3 linked regions of the Coturnix japonica genome follow. The protein of the gene in region 3 purifies or fractionates together with the protein of the main gene of each other region. This does not show direct contact. Links are inferred from orthologs where the notes say so. Each region holds a gene or a part of one and is shown on either strand. Other genes may lie near its edges.

Evidence for each region. Proteins that work in one complex are often made in the same cells at the same time.
Region 1: the proteins of NUFIP2 (region 3) and DDX6 purify together in Homo sapiens (affinity purification with mass spectrometry; 6 studies listed by BioGRID and IntAct, counting the BioPlex papers as one, with this or other methods). This does not show direct contact. The link is inferred for Coturnix japonica from reciprocal best matches to the Homo sapiens genes NUFIP2 and DDX6.
Region 2: the proteins of NUFIP2 (region 3) and ATXN2 purify together in Homo sapiens (affinity purification with mass spectrometry; 3 studies listed by BioGRID and IntAct, counting the BioPlex papers as one, with this or other methods). This does not show direct contact. The link is inferred for Coturnix japonica from reciprocal best matches to the Homo sapiens genes NUFIP2 and ATXN2.

The regions. Positions count from the first base shown.
Region 1 is NC_029539.1:4,829,419-4,833,068, reverse strand, and holds part of DDX6 (probable ATP-dependent RNA helicase DDX6), read left to right. Parts: coding exon 1-39; intron 40-1,077; coding exon 1,078-1,179; intron 1,180-1,817; coding exon 1,818-1,993; 3' UTR 1,994-1,997; intron 1,998-3,067; 3' UTR 3,068-3,650.
Region 2 is NC_029530.1:5,325,858-5,329,507, reverse strand, and holds part of ATXN2 (ataxin-2), read left to right. Parts: intron 1-726; coding exon 727-818; intron 819-3,244; coding exon 3,245-3,442; intron 3,443-3,650. UniProt on the Homo sapiens protein: Involved in EGFR trafficking, acting as negative regulator of endocytic EGFR internalization at the plasma membrane.
Region 3 is NC_029534.1:4,757,402-4,761,051, reverse strand, and holds part of NUFIP2 (nuclear fragile X mental retardation-interacting protein 2), read left to right. Parts: coding exon 1-609; intron 610-3,650. UniProt on the Homo sapiens protein: Binds RNA.

The DNA.
Region 1 (3,650 bases), on a different chromosome or scaffold from region 3:
ATTTCCGAAATGGCTTATGCCGCAATCTTGTTTGCACTGGTAAGAGCCCCTATGCATTTCTGAAGGTTGTGGTAGAGTAGCCATTAGCCCAGGTATAATTGATGAACTGCTTAGTGATAAAACTAATCTGTTTTAGTAAGAGAATTTTTGTCATACCTGTGTGTAGCGGGCTGCAGTGCTCCTGTATTGCAGAATGACCCGGGTTGGAAGGGACCTCAAGGATCATGAATCTCCAACTACCCTCCCCCGCCACAATCAGGGCCACTAACTTCCTCATTTAATACCAGCCCAGGCTGCCCAGGGCCACATCCAACCTGGCCTTGAACACCTCCAGGGTCGGGGCAGCCACAGCCCACATACCACTCTCAGAGTAAAGAACTTCTCCCTGACATCCAGCCTAAATCTGTAGGCATACAGGCTTTCTCTTTTTGGCAACCTGTGGTGGTGCAGCTTGCTAACAAATCCTTTCATTGTGATGATAATTTGTACTTCAGTTATGTTTTCTTTATGTTCTAACATTTGAGTGTCCTATAAATTGTTGGATATGAAATAGTAGAAGAACTGTAGGTAGAACTGTGGCTAGCATTATTGAATAATGATTTACTGATTCTTCATCACTTCCCAAATGCTTTGCAGTTCTGATTGGTCTGTATATGGCCTGAGTTGTATCTTGGCTGCATTACTAAAACTCACTTGAAATGAAACAGAGATAGTTCAGTTGATGGGACGTAGCTCACATTTCAAGTCTGTTGTAAAATGACAGTGTGTGCCTTATTTGATAAGATGCTTATATAAAGCTGACCGGCTCAAAAATAGTGCAAAAACTGGCTTCATGAGAATTATTTTTTTTACCTAGAACTGAAGATTTGATGTCTTGATCATTCGGTTTTTATTATGCTTAACATGGATAAAGAGCAGGAAGAGGCTGTAACAGAATTTATGTCAAATGTTTTGATACACAGAAAGGGCTTGTCTTTAGAAACTAGTGCTAACCAACATTCACAAAGGCTAAATTTCCCAGCCCAGCATTAGATTTCATGGAAGTTAATGTTCTTCATGACTTGTGTTGTCTTTCAGATCTGTTTACCCGAGGTATTGATATCCAAGCTGTGAATGTGGTGATAAACTTTGATTTTCCAAAGCTGGCAGAGACTTATCTCCATCGTATTGGCAGATCAGGTGAGAGGAAAAACATGTTTTAGGGACAGCTTTGCTGATAATTGTAATATTCCTTATGCTTTGATTGGGTTCTGCTTTCTATCACTGTACTGATAATTATTTGGAATAGCTTTTTTTCTGATGTTTACTTACAGGGATGATGGCATAGGATTTTCTTCACAAATACCTGAGTTAATGGCCGTGCTCTTTAAATGAGCTTGAAGAGCCTAGGCCAAAAATAAAAAGAAAATGAGGGAAAAAAGCACCTTTTGCTTTAATTTCATGGAACTCGCCAATGCTTATTGTTTGCAGTTTAGGAAGATTCTATATTGAAAACTTAATTTCTGTGTTTTTTAAAGCATAGTGTGTTTTGTTTGTTGTTCTGCTTGTGCTCCAAAGTTTGTTTCTGATGTCTGGACAGCTTCCAGATATATCCCTGATGATGACAGTGAAGAGTGGAACTCTGTTTACCTCAAGTTCCACACTGCAGTAGTGGAAGACTTTTACTTGGTAGTAGAAAGTCCTTATCAGATGTTGATGTGAAGCTTGCAGGGGTCCAGGTTGACTTTTATAATGAGAAAGCGATGTTAATAACACCTGCAGAATCTGCAGGCTTTTCATTTAACCTCCTGTTACTCAGTTTAAATTTCTTTTTTGAGGTCGCTTTGGACATCTTGGCCTGGCCATCAACTTGATCACCTACGATGATCGATTCAACCTGAAAAGTATTGAGGAGCAGCTGGGAACTGAAATAAAGCCCATACCAAGCAACATTGACAAGAGCCTTTACGTGGCAGAATATCACAGTGAACCTGTAGAAGATGAGAAACAGTAACCATGTGCGTATGTGCTGACTTGAGTAGTTGTGTTGGAATGTCATTGTGGGGGAAGAGGGGAAACTGATGTGCTGAAGAGTCTTGGAATGTGAAAACAAAGGTTTGAAATAGGCTGTCAGAGGAGATGAGGAGAATCCTGCTTGGTGACAGGATGGCTGTGAGCAGCCTAATGAGTTCTTTCTGTATTTCTTAGCTGAGCAGTAGGGGCAGAAAGTGATTATCAGGAAGGTGAGGAGTGAAAAATAGGTCTCTTAAGAACATAGCACCAACAGAACAGCCTGTTCATCTCAGCAGCTGAGAGGAGCAGGTTCAAGCCATAGGTGCCTCATATTTGTTTTGCATTCTTTGATTCATAGAACTTCTGCAAGTAAGCTGAGTAGGTAGCAGAGCTGTAATTCATCTTCATTGCCACTTGAGGTCTACATAGCATTAAAAGAAAATGAGGCTTCTCTGGCAAGGACTTTGGAAGTGTGACTTTTTGATTGCTGTCTGAGGGGAAAAAAAAGGCTGAGTCAGTTCACAATCCAAGGAAGCTGTTATTCTCACAGCAAATAGAGGGTAATATTTCATCTGTTACTAGCTGAGATGCTACAGACCATTTGGGTTGAAAGGAGTTTTGTAGTGCATCTTGTCTTAGAGATCATGAATTAAGAATTCTAATGAAGCTGCTGCAATTACTCTCAGTTAACAAAAAAATTGCCAAAGAAACAGTCTGTTAATTAAAATGAGAATTAAAGCAAAACCTGTATCTCTTTGGAATAACTCAAGGCTAGCCCCAGCCAGCTGGTCATGTCCAGGTGACTTGTGGCCTCTGCTTTGCTGGCTGAGCTTTCTCCATGTTTTAAAATAAATAAAGCAAATCAAACTGTGAAGCTGGGCAAGGTCCTTGGGCGGCTTCCTTGGGGGGAGAAGTTGGGTCATAGTGGCACATCAGAGGGACAGTTCTCGAACTGCATCCAATGCCGGCGGCTTCTCAGGAGCTGCCCTGCAGTCAGCATGATTCATTTCTTAGCTCTGTGCAAAACCAGAACCTGACTTAATTGCAGGTGTTATTTGTGTATTTATATATTCAGGCTTTGACTACATATGCCAGAAGGTGAAGCCCTTTGATCCACATCTGTGACACATCATTTCTCTGGGGATACCCTTCTCTTTGTGGGTTTTTCTTCGTCTTTTCATTTTGGAACTATGAAGACTAAAGAGCTCGGCCTTTTTTCTTTTCAAATTTGGCAGCAAGGAAGAAAGAAGATGAAAGGAGGAATGGCTTTTTGTTTTTCCACTCGTTTGCACTGTGTGCTGATTGAACATTAGTTGCACTAACTGCTGGTTTTAAATTGTTTTTTCTTTGGGTGGGAGGGGCAGCAAGGGAAGAAGAGAAACCCTGAAAAGAGAAGAATCTTTGAACACGAGCTTGTCTGCGATTTCAAATTCTCCAACCATCTACTGAGTGCATTTCAACTTCTCCCTGGTTACTCATCTGTTTTTAAGCTAAAGAGCTTCTTACTTATTCGTGCAAAGTGCCTTATGCTATGAGACCATTCAGAACATCACCTTTCCGACACAGCCCGAGGAATCAACAGCCGTTTTTGGTTTCAGGTCAAAGTTCCCCTCTTTTCCCCCCTCTCTTCCTCTCCAAGTACTCGAGGCCAGGGCTGT
Region 2 (3,650 bases), on a different chromosome or scaffold from region 3:
GTTATGCATCGTTAGATGAAGAGTATGTTCTTAAATTGAGCTTCTTTGTATATCATAGCAGTTAGCTTTCACTCAACCATGCATTCTTCTTAGCAAGGTATTTGCTGCAGTGTGTTAAAGGCAAGAATGGAGTCAAGTTATGGTGGGGAATCTTAACTTTGTCTTGGTGGAACAGTTCCCCTGTCAGTTTTGGTGTATGTACTGTACAGCTGAGATTTGTTGGAGTACTTAATACTGTCAGTGCTTTCATGAAACTTTCAAAGCATTTGTGAAGGCTAAAGCCTTGAGTGCTGTAATAACATACTTCATAAAGTTGGGAAGTTGCCCTGATCACCAGGGGTCTTCTGCCTGCAGCATGTATCTCAGATAATAATGCTTTTGGGAAGTATCAGTGCTTGTCATAGCAAGGGCCGCTCCTAACGTTCAGAATTGTGTAGTGCTTGTTAGCCATTAACTAGTCCAGTATGGGCATGGTGCTTTAAAAAACAGAAACCAACCAACCACACAACAAAAAAGAAACCAACGTGGCTTTTCAGGATAAAGTACATACATCTGATGAACAAAGACCCCTGAAATAAACTGTGGCTCTGCTAGCTTTCTGATATAAACAGTGAGTTTGTAAGCCAAGGCAAAAGAGCAAAAGGTTTGACTCCTATTACCAGCCCTTGGCTTTAAGGGAATGTGTTTCCAATGACATCTTGAAAAACACGCATCATTTTCTTCTAGTCTAACGGATGGGATCCCAACGACATGTTTCGTTACAATGAAGAAAATTATGGTGTAATATCAACATATGACAGCAGTTTATCTTCTTATACGTAAGTTCCAAAATATTTTCTTATTAGATTTGTATTTAATGTTGTCCCTGGTGTGACAAAATTCGTATTCTCAAGATAAGTTTATATACTTTCTAAGGTTGTGGAATCAAATAACTGAAAAAAAAAAAAAAAGATAATAATGGATGAATTGTGCTTAAGAAACCTTGCCAGATTTCTGTGAATAGTTTGTGTAGCAATCTGTATATATTCCCTTAAATGGGCACAGTTCATTCCCATTGCAACATTTTCTGAATTTAGGCGTGCAATAATGCTTAATTCTTAGAAAAACTTTTACAAGTAGAGTGAAAAATACAAACTGTGAAACTATAATGTCTCTTTATGTAGCTGCCATATGTGTAGTTTGTGTTTAACCCAGCAGAACAGTCTGATTAAATCCTAATTTTATTGTGATTATTCATAATGTAGGTATTGGAGTATTGAAACGCTGCTGATATTTCAAGGGGGTTTGTACTGTGGATAACTTGTTTAACAGGCTTGTGCAGACCTGAAGTTTTAGTTACAATATAACAACAACTTGAGTATAGAAGAAGAAGTATGAAGTCTGCTGTGCTTACTTTGGCAGCCTGGACTCATTCCCAGTAGTCTGCAGCTATAGTGTTCGTGCAGCTACAACACAAACTGGTTGCAGATGTTGAACAGCCATCGTGAAATGTCTTTATTTTCCCACTCATTTTACCCACAAAGTTTAAAACTTGGTTGTGAATGTTCAGGAATTGCAGTGATTATTTTAATTTTCTTTTTTCTTTTTTTTTTGTCTGCACATCCCTTGTTCAACATTTTCTTTCTATTGCCACGTTATAGATGTATTTTAACAAAAGCTTAATTGGCTTATGTCTGCATCCTAGGGAAGCTATTCCTAGAGCAGTGAAGTATTCCAAAGTACTCTTTGTACTTCTGAACTTTAGTCTGTGATCTTTCTGTTTTATGGGTATAAATGAACACAAATTAAGAACATGAAGGTGGCTTTAAATTGCTGAAGACAAATTCCATTATTTGCTAGTCAAGGAACTTGCTTTGCATTTTGTTGCTTTAGCTGGGACACTTTATTCTGATTTTCCAAGCATATGATGAGCAGTGGTCCAGCTAAATGCTTACCTGTGCACTTGAGGGGGATTGTACAGGGTTTACTGTTCATTTTATCTTCCCAGAGCTAAGCATTAGCAGGTATAGTTTGTCAGTTTGCATAAGGGCACAAGCTTTGTCCTAGCAAGTGCACTCCTTGGCTGTGTTGATGGCTGCTGTGCTCACACGTATCTTATTTGTGAGCCAGAGCTTTGTGCAGGAGGCCATGCTTTCTCTTTCATCCTCTCAGTCACCATTGATAATGGCAGCAGCTGGCCAAAACTGTGTGTGAGGAGGGGAGACTTTTGCTGTAGTAGCAGAGCTACATGGTACAATTTGGCAAAGCCATTTGCTTTCATAGCCCTGCCACCAATACTTGAGTAATCTTGCATATATTATTTCTTTCTTGGGCTGTCTTTCCAACTACATCCTTTGTTATTTGTTTGTATTATCCCAAATGTGTGCAGTACTGATTATCTAATACCAAAGATTGCATTGTCAGAGTCTCATCTCTACATAGCTTATTCTAAAGTAAAGTCAATGAAGAAAGTTATTTCATAAAACCTGACACAAAAATTAGAACAGGTGAAAAACAGCAATGACAGATGGACAGGAGGAAGTGTCAGCTCAGTTGTGTTGTCCTTCTGTAGTTCATTATTTTAGTAATTCATTGCTCGTGTATCGAGTGGCTTTCCCAAAAGGGTTACGTTTGCTTGCTGCAGTGTGGTATTACCTAATATCATAATACATAGAATGAATGGTTTTGAGGTTCCAGGACATGGCAATTGAGTCTTGGGTTTCTGGTCTAAAGTACTGCATTCATCTTTTCTGCAGTTACTATCACTGGAAGAACTGAAATTCCGTGACTGGAATTATCAGAGGATTAAGTTTGTAACTCTTAACTTCAGTAGTGCTGGGGACTCTTACATCTATTGTGAATGTGTAAATTGCTAAAGAAATTCAAATTTGGTCTCTTGAATTACCTTCCTATCTAAATAATGGGCTAAGGCCTTTTTGTTGCTAATGTGCTCAACCCTGTTAAAAGTTGAAGACTTTGCATAGCTTTAGGGACTGGGGAGTCTGCCAGTCATATGGTAAAGCTGTGCATCCTGACCTCGGTTCTCTAGGCAGGTAAATGGCACTGGTACATAATGTCAAACCAGTGCAGGAATATTGCTAATATAGCAAATAAACTGTCTTAAAAGCATTTTTTTTGTGTGTGTTTTCTTTCTTTTTTTCTTATTTTTAATTTGACCCGTCTAGAATTAATTCTATATAATTTTGTATGTTCTTTGTACTTTTGAATTCATTTCAGATGTTCTTTTTCTTCCATTGTTTTTCAGGGTGCCATTAGAAAGAGATAATTCAGAAGAGTTTTTGAAACGGGAAGCCAGAGCAACTCAATTAGCAGAGGAAATTGAATCAAGTGCCCAATACAAAGCTCGGGTTGCCTTGGAAAATGATGAAAGAAGTGAAGAAGAAAAATATACTGCTGTTCAGAGAAATGCTAATGAGCGAGAAGGTCATGGTGTGAACACTAGGTACTTGCATACACTGTGAATAGTATTTTTATTTAAATGATGTACATATTTTGTTACAGTAGCAATTTACTCATTGAAACTGTGCTTTTTCAGTGGGGCTGATTAGGTTAGGAATCTTGTGTAAACAGTCACTTGCTGGTTTTGGCACTCGTGCTGACTTGTACACCTCTGCTTGGCCCTGTATTATCTGTAATGAAACAGACTTGTC
Region 3 (3,650 bases):
TGGAGCAGAAGAAATCCAACCTTTTTATCTACCCTTCCAATATGCAAACCGTGCTGCTGGGTACGGCTCAAGTCGATTTCCCGTCGCAGACGAATCAGCAGAACCTGGGAGATATCTTCCAGAACCAATGGGGTTTGTCCTTCATCAACGAGCCCAGCGCCGGCCCCGACACCGCGGTGGGGAAATCTGCCGATAGCCAGTCAATGGAAGTGACGTTTCAGGGGGAATATCCCGCCGCGTTGGTTTCACAGTGTGCTGAAATCGTCCCCTCAGGAGCTGAGCAGCCCGTGTTCCCCAAGGCGTACGAGCTGGACAAACGGACTAACCCATCCCCAGCTCTCAGCGCTGCCCCAAAGCCTGGGACTGCTGGGGAGGGCGGCGGTGCAGCCCTGGAGTCGCATCACGCTGGCGAGCTGCAAAAGGCAGAGGCTGGCAGCCAAGGTGCTTTAGTGTTTCTTTCAAAAGACTATGAAGTAGAGAACCCTCTGGCCTCTCCCACGAACAATTTGTTAAGCTCCGCCAAAGAACAGGGGTACCAGAGAGGCCTAGAAAGGAAAGATAGCTGGGGTTCTTTTGACCTGAGTGCTGCTGTTAAATATCACACTAAAGGTAATGGCTTCGCTCGCTACCTAAGGGCATGCTCTGTTCTCTCCTTGTGCTTTTCCCCCTCTATCAGTGCAGTGTAATAACATGATGTCTCTCTTGCAGCTGATTGTTTTGGAAAGGAGCTTTTGGTTGCCTGTACCGAATGGCAGCCACGGCTTGGGAAAGTGACTTGAAAAGCTGTTTTGTTTCTGCCGGGAGCTGCTCGTTTCTCTTGTGATGGGCAGAGTCGGTTGGGCTGGTGGTCAGCTGCTGGGCTGCTCTTTTAGTCCCTATGGGCCAACCAGGTCTCCCTGAGCAGCAGGAGGAGCTGGATGTGTGGGCTCTGCAATGCTGCAGCTCCCCTGGCTGCAGGGGGGCTGTGTGCTCACACCTCTGCCACCCCAGTGCTGCAGCTTCACCTTGGGGTGGATGGTACCCTGAGATCGTGGCTTTAAAGGGAGGAAAATTCCTCCTGTGTGTCTCTCCCTTCTCATGGTGTGATTTATTTCTTGCTTTAACTCCTTTACTTTTTGTAGCCCACCTTTTCCCCATCCTTCTACAATTATTGTGGCAACAGCGCGGCAAATCTCCACCTCTCAGCTCTGCAGGTTGGATTTCCTCCCTCTCTTTGTAGGGCGCATCTTTCAGATGATGTTATTGCTTTCATGGAGCCCTTTTGTAGTCCTTTCAGACTGCGGTGTCTGAAGTACAGCTTGGATACAGCAAACAGGGCAGAGCAAAACCTGCAGGCTGGTTTTCCTTTCTGCTTCCCCTCTGGTCTCAGTCCCATAGGCCGGGGGTCTCAGAGCTGCTGGTGTTAGGGAGCCCAGGTTCCCTGCTCCAGTTCTCTTATGAAGTTCACTGCTGTATCAACGCTCTGGTTTGTCTCTCATTACTCTGCAGCCCTCTTTCTCCCCTTCTCTCTCACTGCATGAAAGACCCCAGTGAAACAATAGTCACAACAGGAAAATAAAGAACACTCCCTTCCCATGTCCTCTTAAGGAGGTGTTAACTTCAAAGCCTGGCTCTGCTTATTCCTTCTGAGCACAGAGGTTAATTACATGCACTGGCAGGAGTGGACACCTAAATCACCCCTTAAAACACTGCTCTCTGCTCTTTCCTTTTCCTCTGCTCTGGGTGTTCCTGGCAGCGTTGTGTCATTAGCACAGGGCAGTCTGTGCTCATCTTTCTCCTTCTTGGTGTCCAGGAGCTGCTGGCTTACAGAGCATGGAGCGATGAAGGTTTGAGTTCACCTGCAATGATGGTAGACCTGCATTTTGGTGTTTGCTGAGGACTGAGTTTGATTTCTGGGAGGATCAGCAGCTTCCCCTGCCCTGTGCTTAAGGGAGATCCTCACGATGTCTCTGTGGCCACAGCCCTGGGTGCAGAGCTTGCAGGCACTTCATTCTCACACTGTTTCCCATTCATGTGGGACTGCTTTCCTGAGGTCCCCTGAAGTGCCTGTGCTTGCAGTGCTTGCTTACATAGCCCTGCTCTGGGCTGTGGGTATCTGTCCTCACTTTGTTTGCTTTGGATTTCAAGAGAAGGGCGAACTCCTCCCTCTCCAGATCGATCTGTTTGGTTTCGAGCAAAGTCTCAGTGGTTTGATCTCCAGATCTGCCCTTCCTGCAGGGTTATGGATGTGTGGGGCAGGGACGGGGTGAGCAAAGAGAGCACCTGCCCTGAGCTCCATGGGAGTGTGGGCTGCTGCAGCAGTGCAGCCTGCCTGGTACCTGTGGTCAGCTCGTGTGGATCCTCATCTTGGCTTGCACATCAGCAATGGGGAGGCTGCCTCCCATAGGGGCACTGCAGACCCGCTGGCACAGCTGCTGGTGCACACTGGTTCTGCTCTTGGATGCTTTTTGTGCTGCTTCCTCTACACTCCTGCTCTGCGTTTCCCTTTTCCCACGGCCATCCGATCTGCCCACCCGGAGCACGCGACCCTTCAGGGCACTGCCCTCACTGCCTGCACGTGCTGCTCGCTGCTGCCGTGCCCAGCGTAGCGAGGTGGATGTGAGTTAGTTCCGTGCTGCTGGAGCTGCCGTCTGCCTGGAGGCAGGGCTGGGAGCTTCTGGTGGGAGCCCACAAGGACCAGTGGGAGCGATGCTGTCGTTTATGAGCTCTGTTTCCCCCCAGGATAGAACTGAAGCTTTGTCCCAGTGTGGCGTTGCTCAGATCCTCCTTTTGGGGCTGAACTTGATGCAAACAGGTGGTTTGGTCCTCTCCTGACAGAGAAGGCTGCCCACAGAGGACAGGCAAGCTCTGCTCCAGCTGCACAGCAGCAAAACCAATGTAAGCAGAGGAGAGAGGGAAACTGCAGCTGTTTTCCTCCAGCCTCGCCCCGTGTTTCTGCCTGCCCTGCTTTGTTCCTGCTCGCATGAAGAAGCAGGGGAGCGGCGTGCAAAATAGAGCGAGGAGCGCGGGGCAGCGCGGAGTGACGTGCGGCGGAATGGGGAACTGGGTCAGAAGAAGCAGCAGCAGCGCAGTGAATTCAGCAGTTCCCATCCTCTGCATCGGGGAGGGGGGGACAAGCCTTCCCTCAGTGGGAAGGGGTGAGGGCTCAGTTGGTTGCTGATGTGCTGCGGGGCAGAAGCTGATGTGATTCTTTGAGGCTCTGCTATTTCCACTTGGCAGAACTGCCGCCCGGCGCTGTCACCATGAGGCTCTTTGGCATCAAATGTTGAATCTTTGCTTTGTTTCCTGGGAATCCCCAAAGTTAGCGGCTGCACCTCGCAGATAGCGAGAATCCAGGCGAGGTTGAGCCCTCTTGGTTATTTTTAAGCTGTTCAATTTGGGTGAAGTTGTCAGTCTGTGCTGGGTTTGTGACAGCAAAGAGCTGCCACCGTAGCACAGCGTGGGGACTTTTGTTTGCGGCAGCATTCTCCCTAGCAAGGAAAATGTATATCCAAGTGCCTGTCGGAGCAAGTTATTGCACAGGCTTCTTTCCCCTCCAAGGTTATGTACTAATCCAGCTATAAAGTTTATTGGCCTGAGAGGAATCTTGCTGCACTGCTCCTGACATCAAAGCCCTCTGCAGCCCCTTTGTTCAAGGGATGGTGCCAGAG